Linked DNA regions of Sus scrofa. The protein of the gene in region 1 interacts with the protein of each later gene in a biochemical or structural test. Links are inferred from orthologs where the notes say so. Each region holds a gene or a part of one and is shown on either strand. Other genes may lie near its edges.

Region 1 (4,153 bases):
GGGCAAGGTGAGGCATCCTAATGGTTGAAAGCCTCACCCTGGTGAAACCAGCCCCTTCTGCGGTCACACGCTTACACCACCCCGCCCCAGTCTGGAGGTTAATACGTACACCAATGTACACTTTCTAAGCAACGAAGACTAGTGTTAGGTTCAGTTTATGTGCAACACGTGTACTAAGCAAAGGAACAATCTGAGCAACTCAGCGGTCAAGAAATTTGAGGATTAAAGTCTGTTGCTTGAATGCTTAAGAACAGAAGACCAGAAGCCAGACGCCCAAGTGCTCTCAGTAAACACTCCTCCATTCCTGCCCCTATTTTCAGTTTACTGCCCATATTCCAGCATAGCCCATCTCTGGCTGTATTTTTTTTTTTTTTTTGTCTTTTTTTTTTGCTATTTCTTCGGCCGCTGCCTCGGCATATGGAGGTTCCCAGGCTAGGGGTCGAATCGGAGCTGTAGCCACCGGCCTACGCCAGAGCCACAGCAACGCGGGATCCGAGCCGCGTCTGCAACCTACACCACAGCTCACGGCAACGCCGGATGGGTAACCCACTGAGCAAGGCCAGGGACCGAACCCGCAACCTCATACTGGGTGTATTTTTTAACCTTTCTAAAGTGAAGGGTAGTTGACTGACAATGTTTCAGGTGTATGATAAAGTCAGACCATCTCTGGGTCTGTGAATCAGAATGGCAATTCACACACCAAAGACACTCAAGACTTTACTGTCAGCAAAATATCAACAACACAACTTTTTGCAAGGGGCCTCAGGCATGGTCCCGGCAGGGAGATTGCAGAGCAGTTTCTCCTATCTAATCTTTCAAGCAGGAACGCCAGTGCCAGCTGAAGACTGCAGCTCACCCTGTCTTTGAAAAAAAACCCCGCAACTGGGAGCATTTCAAGAAGACAGAGGATCATAAGCACAATACACTGTAATGACATATACCTGGGAACGCTAAGCTGCCTTCTCCGCTCCTCTTTTCCATCCACCAAAACCAAGAGCTCTCTAAGGATCAGATAACCTGGGTGGGGAGGAACTTTTCAAAACATAAAGTGCTAATAATAAAACAGAGACCATTTAATGGGTGTCTTCTGTGTGCCAGGAAAGATGACAGGCACTTTCGAAAAAGTTTTTCTTTCTCTTTTTCCCTCGCAAAAACGTTGTCAAGTGTGGTTTCATCATCCTCCTGCTACTGAGAAGGAAAATGCACGTGTGTGACTTGCTCTGTGGCTGACTGGCCGCAGAAGGACTCTAGCCCAAAGCCTCTCCGTGACACCGGCCTGGCTCCTTGATGTCGGAGTGTCTACGATTGACAACTTCAAAAGCAGAATTCTCCTTGTAGAACACCAGAGAACCTGGTGCCCTCAAACTCCCTCCAGAACACTGTCAAAAGCCTGATACGAGGGCGATGCTGGAACTCAGACACTGAAAGTCTAACGTAAAGGCCACCCTTCGGAGGGTACAAGCATCGTCTCCCCATTTCTCCAGCAACACCATCAACCCTAGCCAAGGGCAGACCCAGGGGTTCCGGTCTCTTCCTCTTTCTCTGCCTTCACTCAGATAAACAGAAGACTGCAGGGAAGGATCTTAGCTTGGAGTTCAACAGGAAAGACGCTAATTAGCTGCCAAGGCCCTCCACCTTGCCCCAGGGCCCAGGGAAAAGGCCCAGACCCTCCTCCATCTGCCTGGCCCTGGGCTCCTGGAGCTCCCAAACCTGAGTTAGCCGGGGCCCAAAAGTCATCCCTCCATCCCATCCCTACAAGCCTCTCCAAGCCCTAGCCCCCAGCTTTCCCCCATCTCGAGTACCTAAAAACGAATTTCCTATCTTTTTCTCCCACAACGCCAGAACCCGGCTAAGACCAGTCCAAAAGCTGTGTCAAGCCCCTCCTTGCAGCAACAACAGTGGCCGGTCCCTGACACCGCGAGCCTCGAGGCACAGCAGACCAGCCTCCGACCCCCTTGGCCTCAACCTCGGCCCTCCCTCCACCATCAACAGGACACTTATCCACGAGACAGGTCACGGCTTCAAAGTGTCTCCTTAGTGGTTCCCCCTGTATCCCTCTTTGTCCCACCTTCCCAGCTCTGCAGAGCGAGGAGTGAGGCTGCTGACCACGATACTTGGACTCAGCCCCAGAGAATGCCCCCGAATGCCTATTTCTGCTCAGAGTGAGGTTCGGGGGAACAGCTAAGTAAGGACTTACCCCACTGCCCAGGTTGGCCCAGGGCCCCAGATCCTCAAGACCCGGTTCAAGGTGATCACGCCCCCACTCCAGACCCTCCAACGCGGAGTGGAAGCCCGCGCCCTAACCCCGTTTGAACCTCCGCAGAGACCTTGGCGGAGAGACCCTCCCCCCCGCAGAGAGGCCTCGGCCTGTCGCCCCCCAGCCCCGCCCCCGCCGGCCCTGACCTTGCCGGAGCTGGGGGTCGTCCAGCACGTTGTAGGCCGCGTAGTCGCGGACGCCGTGCAGCCGCAGGATCTGCACCACGGCGTTGCTGAAGCCACACTGGGGCTGCTCTGGCGTCCCCTTGAGGAAGACCACCACCTTGTCCTTCTTCACCAGCGTGTCCAGATGCTCCGCTGAGCCGCTCCCGCCCGAGCTCGCCGCCCGCACGCCCGGGACCCACAGACCACCGCCTACGCCGCGCCCCCAGCGGAGCAGAGCCGCCGCCGCCCGGCCCAGGGACGCGCTCATCCCCGTACGCTCGCCGGAGCCCTGGACAGCTCGGGACCTGAGTTAGACAGCAGGAGCCTCGCTGGGGCCTGGCCAGCGGCGGCCCGCCCCGTCCCCCGGAGACCCTCATTGGACCGGCTCCGAATAGCTCTACGTGATTGGACAACGCTGGCCGGCAATTACTGGATTCTACCAATCATATTACTTGTCCCGCCCCGATAGCTTGGAGGAGGTCCTTAGCTTGACGCCTTACCATTGGCGGTTGGCAACCTCTCTATCAGTTGATTGGAGAGAGTGCATGTCCATCAAGGTCACGCTTGAGACTAGCAGAGGCGAAACCAGCGGGAAGACGACTTCGCCACCAAGGGCGGGCGGGCCTGCTGGGATACTCCGGGTGAGTGGGACGCACTGGGCGGGGTTTCGCCGTTCCGAGGATGTCGGGGAAGGGGGGTCACTGCCAGATGGAGGTTCCGGTTCCGGTGCAGTGTCTGGCTGGTTGCGTTGCTACGGCAGCGCGGTTGGTAGGTGCCTGGTTCTTGCCGTAAGGGTGGTAGCGGCGCTGGAGTAGGTCTGGGTCTAGGAGAGCGGCCCGGAGCGTCTGTAATGCCGCAGCCGTTCGCGGCGGGAGCGTGGACCAAGCCGGGCTCTGGCGGCCAGGCCTGCCGAGGGCTACCGCGTCCGACCTGGCCCTGTGCCTCGGAGCCTCTCGCGGTCCCGCCGCCCATGTGAGAGCGGAGGCCTGGTTTCCGCCCATGGGCCGCGATTACTTCACTAAAACAGCTTTTATTTTAAAACACTGTAGAGCGCTCTCGTCTGTGTGATCGGGGCTTCGCTGACTTTCCGGCCTACTTAAGCCCCTGGGCCTGGGCCCAGGAAGGGTTTGTTGAACCGGGAGCTAAGAAGGGAATTGGCTCGTTCGACAGACGTTTTCTGCGCAGCTGTGGCGTGCAAGGCACGGGGCCGGTGCGGGACCTCCAGAGAGACCTGTGCCCAAAGCTTGAGAAATGAGAAGCAGGTACAAAGCAATGTGGGGTGCAGAGGAGGGAAAGGCAGTTTCCTTAGACCCACTGCTTTCTCTAGTCTCCATTGTGCTTATTACACCTTGACACGTGTTTGCTAACTTGTTTGTTGACTTCTCTCCCGGACCCTCGACTTCATTCACTGCTGTATTCTCAGTACCTAGAACAGTGCTTGGAACGTGGCGGGTGCACATATTGGTGGAAAGAACGATTCCCGGGAGAGCGGGGCTCAGCGACATCGCCAAGTGATCTGTAGTCTTGGAGCCGCCCAGGGTTGGTGGTACCCTAGAGCACACCAGACTTGCAGAGAAAGCAGACTCAGAGGAAGCTGAGGCATAACTGCTCAAGAGCCAGCAGTACGATGTGCAATTTTCCTCTGATAGTTCCTGGGTACTGTTGCCACGGTGATAATGGCTGTGCCAGTGCCGTTATCTATCAACCGACAGTAAGAGCAGCTTTTTGCAGT
Region 2 (3,197 bases), on another chromosome or scaffold:
AGATGCATCCTAAATTCCAGCCAGAAACAGTCCATACACCTTAATCAAGCTTTTTCTCTAGTACTTTCCATCTCCACATGAGATCATTACAAAGTTGCATATCTAGACACTACTTGAGTTCTCTTCAGAAATAAGACATTTGGAAGGCTCATATGAAAAAAGGCCACATAAAGTTTTTTCCATCTTCTATACTCATTTCCTAGGTTATCATCTTTTCACTGCTTTAGTGATAGTTAAAAAAAAAAAATTTTTTCCACAAAGAAATGTAATCCTTTTGGAAAAGAATAGGTTGTTAGAAAGCCAAACATTCCCCAAGTCTGAAGTTCAAATGCATCTATAGCTGCTGTCTTGTCACTCTCTGTCCAGTCCAGCTTCTATGCTTTTGCTTGGGCTCTTCCCCCTACCTGCAACAACTGTCCTCTCCTTTCTGGTTTAATGAATCCCTTCCTGACTATCCTAGGCCTCAAGTATCTTTCTCCTCCCGAGAACATCTGTAGCACTGACTCAAAAGGCCATTAATAACACAGCAATTCACTTCATACGATAATTTCTCTTTTAATGTACAGAATTATCTGCAACTCATAAGGTCTGGTGGTTCCTTAGTCACAATTTAACACAAAACATTTTCCTGAATGGTCCAGGCCAAGAGCTGTAGAGAGAGATTCTACTCTTTCCTTGGGTTAGCCTTGATGTGAAATGAATTGCTGTCTCCAGAGAATAAGTATATGCCAGTTGAATGGGGCCCAGGGTCCTCATCTCTTACAGATATTGAAGGGAAGAAGGCCCCAGTAGTTTATTCTCACCCAACCCATTTGGCTCCTCGTCCTCCCTCTCTCAAGACTCAGGGAGTTCCTCGAGTTTTCTTGCTCCCGCCCAGGCAAGGGGGGCTCGTGTCCAGTTGAGGGTTCTCTCTCCACTGGGCAGGGGTGCGCGCCTGTATGGCCAGGGCATGGACCGGCCCAGCCAGTTCTTCGGACAGCGCCGTGTGGACCAGCCGATGCCGTTGTAGGGGGCTCAATCCCTCGAAGCGAGAGCTCACCACAGCCACGCGGAAATGCGTCTCACTGCCTGGTGGGACTGCGTGGCCACCGCTCTCATTACGCAGCTCCAGCACCTCGGGGTTCAGGGCCTGTTCCAGCTTCATGCGAATGGCGGCCTCGACGGGACCGATGGTCCCTGCTCCCGTGCTGCTCCGGGACAGACAGACGCGCCCGGCCATGGAGAACAGGCGTCCGACCAGCTGCCCACTCAGCATCGGCTAAAGCAGAGACAAGGACAGGAGCAGTGAGGGGTCAGGGCCTCTCGCTTGGTGAGAGATCAGTCTCTCAACTATCCCAGCCCCGGCCTCGGCTCCAGCTGGGAGCCCGCCGCCCCGCGGGACAGTGAAACGGGAGCCACCGCCCCTTTCCTCAGTGTGACGTGGGGGAAATCTGGCCTCCCGCCTTGGGCAGCGAATGGGCGACTGTAGAGTACACAGGGCCAGAAGTGAGGCATGTTCTTTACTAAGGTGATTCGCAAAGAATAAGATGGAGGTTGCAAGAGTAGGGTATGTGCAACTCTGGGCTTTTGGTTGAGCAGTGTCTCTGTGTCCCCTCTGAACCCCAGGCTGGGCCCCTTCTACCTTGCACTCAGGCTTGAATACCGCAGTTCCGACTCCCGGAAGGAACGGCTGAGGGTCAGAGCCAAAAGCAAATCTCGCGTCCTGAGGCACGCTGGGAAATGCAGTCTCCGCTACGCGATACCCGGCAGGTGCTATTCGATGCCCCGAGGGCTTCTGGGAACTGTAGTCTCTACTTCGCCCGATTTGTGAGGTCGTCAGAGGTTGTGAACCCGAGGAATTGCAAAGAAAACGGAAATTCCTGAGCAATTGGGATTGAGATTTTTCAATTCATTTTATTTCCAATAGGTCTTGTAGATCAGCTAGCCCAACATCTTTATTTTCCATATATTGTGGAAATCTATTTCATTTATTGAATACATAATTATTTTGCATCGGACCAGTCCCGGAGGGTGGAGAGGTAAGACAGGCCCTGTCTGTCCTCGGGCAGTTGATGGAACACTGGAGAAGATGGACAAGTTAGCGGACAGTTGTAATGCCATGTGCCAAGGGCTGTAATAAGGCCAAGAACAGGATGCTAGAGCGGCATATTGTCGAGGCTTGGGGGAGCAGAGGAAACTTAGAGGAAGAGTTTAGAAGAGACACAAAACCCCATTCTCAATTCTTCATAGGGGGGTAGCTGCATGCGCAAAGGCCTAGAGGAGAAAGAACTTTGGTGGGATGGGGGTGAGGGTGGGGGTGGAGGTGTTCCTTTCGGTGTAGTTAGGTATGGTTGGACCCCACGGGGCCAAGATGATGATGATGGGAAGCTGAGGGAGTGTGTAGGCCTGTGGGGGGAAGAGGCAGGAAATCATGCTGAGCCTTGTAGGCTTCCTGAGGTAGTTTTGCCTTTATCCTAGGAGCTGTGGAAGCCAGGGAAGGCTTTAAACAGGGAAGCTCCCGACGTGGCGCAGCGGAAACTAACCGACTAGGAACCATGAGGTTTCGGGTTCGATCCTTAGCCTCACTCAGTGGGTTAAAGATCTGGCGTTGCTGTGGCTGTGGTGTAGGCCGGCGGCTACAGCTCCGATTAGATCCCTAGACTGGGAACCTCCATATGCCGCAGGTGCAGCCCTAAAAAGACAAAAGACAAACAATAAATAAATAAATACAATAAAAACAGGGATACTAACAGGATAAGATTTTTCCCAGATGACATGTAATTTGTCAATTCAGTCTATATTTTAGATTTCTCCATACTTTTTTTTTTTTGACTGCATCAGAAATTCCCAGACTAGAGATGGAACCTGCCCCACAGCAGCTACCAGAGCCACAGTAGCGACAATGCTGGATCCTTAACCCACTGTGCCGCTAGGGAATTCCTCCAACTTCTAATTTTGAAAAATTTCAAACCTGCAGAAAAGTTGAATAGTATAAAGAAATATCATCTACCTTTCACCATTTTTTACATGTGTATATTATTATATGCTTGTACATATATACATTTATATTTAAGGGTTTTTTTGTTTTGTTTTGTTTTTGTTTTTTGCTACACCCTTGGCACCTGGAAGTTCCTGGGCCAGTTATCCAATCCATGCCACAGTAGCCACTCGAATGGTGGCTGCAATGATGCCAGATCCTTAACCTGCTGTACCATAAG
Region 3 (4,255 bases), on another chromosome or scaffold:
TAGATCACAAATGACAGGCTGAAAATGGCTTATGTCAAAAATCCATGCCTGGTTCTCTGTTTCCGGGACCTTCTACCTATCTGCTTACACAACCCATCCAAGTGCAGCAGTGAACATACTGATTGCATAGGCAAAATGCAAGAGTAAAAAGAGCTGGTTCATCCTTCACGGTATACCAGACCACATGCTATATGCACATACTGCTAGAGAGAGAAAGGGCTTGGTTGAATTTCTGCTTCGAACTGTCTGAAGTATTCCAGACATGGGGCAGATTTGCTGACAATCCGTCCCTGATAGTGTCAGCTTCCCCTGCATTCTCAAAATGCCAAGGTCTGTGACTCCAAGCCTCCACCTCTGCTGAGCCGTGTCCTGCAGGCACCTTAAACTGAGGCAAATTCAAAACCAAGTTAGTCAATCCCCATCATCCCACGCCTAGCCCTCCTCCATCTATCCAAGTCAGAAACCTGAGCCTCATCCCTGCCACCTTCAGCCCTGCTACTTTCAGCCGGTCACTCCAGTCCATTCCTCCCAGGTGTCTCAATCTACTCCTCCCATCCCTGCTACCAGGTCTCCCCTTGGGTCTCCCCTCTCCTTCGGAACAGAAGCTGGGACTTCTGTCCTCCTCTCCAATTTCAGCCCCCTACTGTCTCCGCTCCTCAGTGATCTTTCTAAAGCACAAATCTGACAATGACTCCCCTCTTTAGAATCCTTCCCTGGTTCCTTCCTGGAGGGAGAAACCCAAGACCCTCTGTTTTGTTTTGTGTTTTTGTTTGTCTTTCTGTCTTTTCTAGGGTCGCTCCTGTGGAATATGGAGGTTCCCAGGCTAGGGGTCTAATCTGCCAGCCTACACCTGAGCCACAGCAATGCGGGATCCCAGCCGCATCTGCGACCTACACCACAGCTCACGGCAACGCCGGATCCTTAACCCACTGAGCAAGGCCAGGGATCAAACCCGCAACCTCATGGTTCCTAGTTGGATTCGTTAACCGCTGAGCCACGACGGGAACCCCCAAGACCCTCCGTTTAACAGCAGGGTGTGGGGTGGTGAGTGGGCACAGCGGCGGTCCACTTAGGGCACCAGGGTCCTTGGGACGAGGGGAAGTCCGAAGGCTGCATGGAGCCCCGGGTACTGGCTCTGTCCCCAGCCTGGGCAGCGGAGGCTGCTCGCGAGAGAAGGCGGAGGGCGGGGCCCCGGGCGTGCGGGGCGGCTCCCGGCCTCCAGACGGCAGGGGGCGGCCTCGCCCACGGCGGAGGTGGCTCGGGTTCCGGGTTCCGCGCCTTTTGGGAGACTCGGCGACCTCGGGCGGCGGGCCGCGTCGGCCGGGCATGGCTGCTTGGAGCCCGGCCGCGGCAGCGCCTCTGCTCCGCGGGAGCCGCGGGGTGAGCGCGGGCGGGGGCCGGGCTGCTCTCGCCGGGGCGGGAGACCGCGGGGCGGGCTGCGGCCAGAGCTGGAGCACCCGCTCGCGGAGGGCGGCGCGCCGAGCCGGGGGCCTCCGCGTTCTTTCTCTCATCCGTTGGTTCGTTCATCCAGCGGGCCCGGCTACGCGTAGTCGAAGTGTCAGGCCCGGCGCGGGCTGGGGGAGCTCCCGCGAACAGGGCGGGGGTGGAGGGCGAGGGGAACGGATGCGCAAACATTCTGAATACGGCGGCCACGGACCAAGCAGTGTTGATTTACCAGAGACGTGGGAGGCATAGCCGGGAGTCGCGGCGTGCATGCCAGGGACTGTGGCTGGGTCTGGGCTCCAGAACGTCCGCCCGGCTTCTGTGACCTTGACCCTCCCCAAATCCCACACTCCCCTAGTAGCAAGCCCGCAGAGGGCACTCCCCACGCGCTCTCCGAATTTTCTCTCCCCCTTTCTGATTCATCCACTTCTTTGGCTTTCTTCTCACATTCTTTCTTCTTTTGAACCTGCCTCCCCCAGGCATGACGAGCAATTCTCCTGGTGACTTCCAGCCTGGACAGTCCGCATTCCGGAGATTTTTGTCAGTAGATTGCTAGGTTTTTAAAAGCCACTGCCTGCAGATAGCTGAGATGAGGGAAGGTTTCTCCCAAGGAGTCAGCAGTGCCAACCACCCTGACCCCTTAGTGATTGCTTCTTCCGAGCCACCTGGTTACCCTCTGCCTTTGTCCCCCAGGGCACTGGCTTCAGGAGAGGTCCTAACCCCCCCACCCCATCTTACCCAGGCCCACAACATCAAGTGTCTGTCACATACAGCACTCAGTCTCCCTCCCAAGTCAGATCTTTCTCCTGACCTGCATTTCTGCTAAGTGTTAGAATCGAGATTTCTTTGCTGGTGATCCATAGGTATGCCCTGAATCACGTGGTTCTTCCCCTGTTCATTGATTCATTCATTCATCCATCACCCACATCTTCCGGAGGGCCTGCCCTGGGCAGTTCTGGAAGACTGCAGAACAGGACAGACTCAGTCTTGGCCTCTGAGACCAGTTGGTGAAAGAGTTAGTGCACAGGGCATTTAAAGGAGGTGATCTGAGATTCTTTAACTAACATAGGACCCTGCTCTGGGCCATCAGGAAAGGCCTAAGGATGAGCAGGACTAAGGGGATAAAGGGATGGTACCTTCAGCACCAGCCCTTGATGAACAGCGCTCTAAGGACCATCCTTCTCCAGTGGGGCTGCCTGATATTACTCCTTTGTAGTGATACTCTCGTATGGGCATCTTTCCTGACTTATCTTCAAATGCACTGTTACTTTGACACCAAGAATCTGTCTAACAGAACCCAAAGTCTTTAGCTTGACATTCAAGGCCTGCCATGCTCTGTTTTCATTCTCCCTTTTCAGCATGTGCTCAACCCAGTCAAGGGGCTGCTGACCTGGTCGTCTGCTAAGGGTTGAGACACATTCCCATCAGGAGCCCTGGCTCCTTGGGGTAGCCATAGGGGGAGGGGGAGTGCTGCTGCCCATGGTAAATCTAATAAGGTTCCTCCTTCAGGTCCTTTAACAGAATTCTGTTTCTTCTCTCCAGTGAGAATTGCAAAGAGGGTCATTCCCATTGTGGCGCAGCAGAAACGAATCCGACTAGGACCCATGAGGATGAGGACTTGGGCTTGATCCCTAGCCTTGCTCAGCGGGTTAAGGATCCGGCGTTGCTGTGGCTGTGGTGTAGGCCGGCAGTTGTAGCTCCGATGGGACCCCTAGTCTGGGAACTTCCATATACCTCCGGTGCAGCCCTAAAAAGCAAACAAACAAACAAAAAGAATTGCAAAGGGTAGCTGGCTTATCAAGCAATAGGTAAAGGGGTACATCCCACTGGAGAGAATGTGGAATGTTAATCAGGCCTAAGGGTGGGTGGCATTTGGCCTCATCAGTACGTGGTAATGACTGAGCCGGGTGGCCTGGCCTTTCCTGGTTCTGCATCTACTGATGGATCCAGCCTTAGACATTACCTAGTGCATCAGGCTCCTCACTCATAAAACTGTCCTCACAAGTTCCTCTTGTGGCTCAGCGGAAACGAATCTGACTAGGAGCTATGAGGATGTGGGTTCGATCCCTGGTCTCGCTCCTCGGGTTAAGGAGCCAGCATTGTGGTGAGCTGTGGTGTAGGTTGCAGACTCGGCTTAGATCTGGCATTGCTGTGGCTGTGGTATAGGACGGCAGCTAGAGCTCTGATTCAACCCCTAGCCTGGGAACTTCCACATGTTCTGGGTACAACTCTCAAAAGCAAAAAAAAAAAAAAAAAAAAAAAGTCATCATGATAGTGTCTCTCTCATAACATTATCACTAGTTAAACACCTATGGAATGAAGTTTGGGGCCTTGTCTCTACCATCAAAGTGAGTTATTTACAATTCCATTCCCTCCTCAAAATAAAGTTTGTTCTGCCTCCTGGGGAGCATAACGGAACACAGTGCAGTTGCCCTGCCTTAGCCTGGGGCCCTGCCTTGTGGGGGGAGGGCAGCCCCCCCCCACCACCACAGTGACTCTCCTCTGTTCTGTGGCAGCTCCCTCTTCTCCACTCTGCCCAGCGGATGTTTGCCTCGCAGACTGAGGGGGAGCGCAAAGTGACCCAAATTCTCAAAGAAAAATTTCCTCGAGCTACAGCTATCAAAGTCACTGACATTTCAGGTAAGATTTCTCCCTCATCTCTCCCACAGTTTGGTAGGATTTTTACCTGCTGAAGGGGCAGAGAGCAGGAGGCTTGGTGGGAACTCATCATCTCTGGCTTTTCCACACATAAGGCTTTTGTTTTTTTTTGGGGGGGGGTGCCCACACCTGCAGCATATGGAAGTTCCCAGTC

Evidence for each region.
Region 2: the proteins of GLRX5 (region 1) and BOLA1 form a complex in vitro, tested with the Homo sapiens proteins (2 studies listed by BioGRID). The link is inferred for Sus scrofa from reciprocal best matches to the Homo sapiens genes GLRX5 and BOLA1.
Region 3: the proteins of GLRX5 (region 1) and BOLA3 form a complex in vitro, tested with the Homo sapiens proteins (4 studies listed by BioGRID and IntAct, with this or other methods). The link is inferred for Sus scrofa from reciprocal best matches to the Homo sapiens genes GLRX5 and BOLA3.

Annotation. Positions count from the first base shown.
Region 1 is NC_010449.5:116,786,016-116,790,168, reverse strand, and holds the start of GLRX5 (glutaredoxin-related protein 5, mitochondrial), read right to left. Parts: upstream 2,824-4,153; 5' UTR 2,690-2,823; coding exon 2,404-2,689; intron 1-2,403.
Region 2 is NC_010446.5:99,155,527-99,158,723, forward strand, and holds BOLA1 (bolA-like protein 1), read right to left. Parts: upstream 1,712-3,197; 5' UTR 1,622-1,711; intron 1,259-1,621; 5' UTR 1,256-1,258; coding exon 842-1,255; 3' UTR 533-841; downstream 1-532. UniProt on the Homo sapiens protein: Acts as a mitochondrial iron-sulfur (Fe-S) cluster assembly factor that facilitates (Fe-S) cluster insertion into a subset of mitochondrial proteins. Probably acts together with the monothiol glutaredoxin GLRX5. May protect cells against oxidative stress.
Region 3 is NC_010445.4:68,882,257-68,886,511, forward strand, and holds the start of BOLA3 (bolA-like protein 3), read left to right. Parts: upstream 1-1,326; coding exon 1,327-1,380; intron 1,381-3,959; coding exon 3,960-4,083; intron 4,084-4,255. UniProt on the Homo sapiens protein: Acts as a mitochondrial iron-sulfur (Fe-S) cluster assembly factor that facilitates (Fe-S) cluster insertion into a subset of mitochondrial proteins. Probably acts together with NFU1.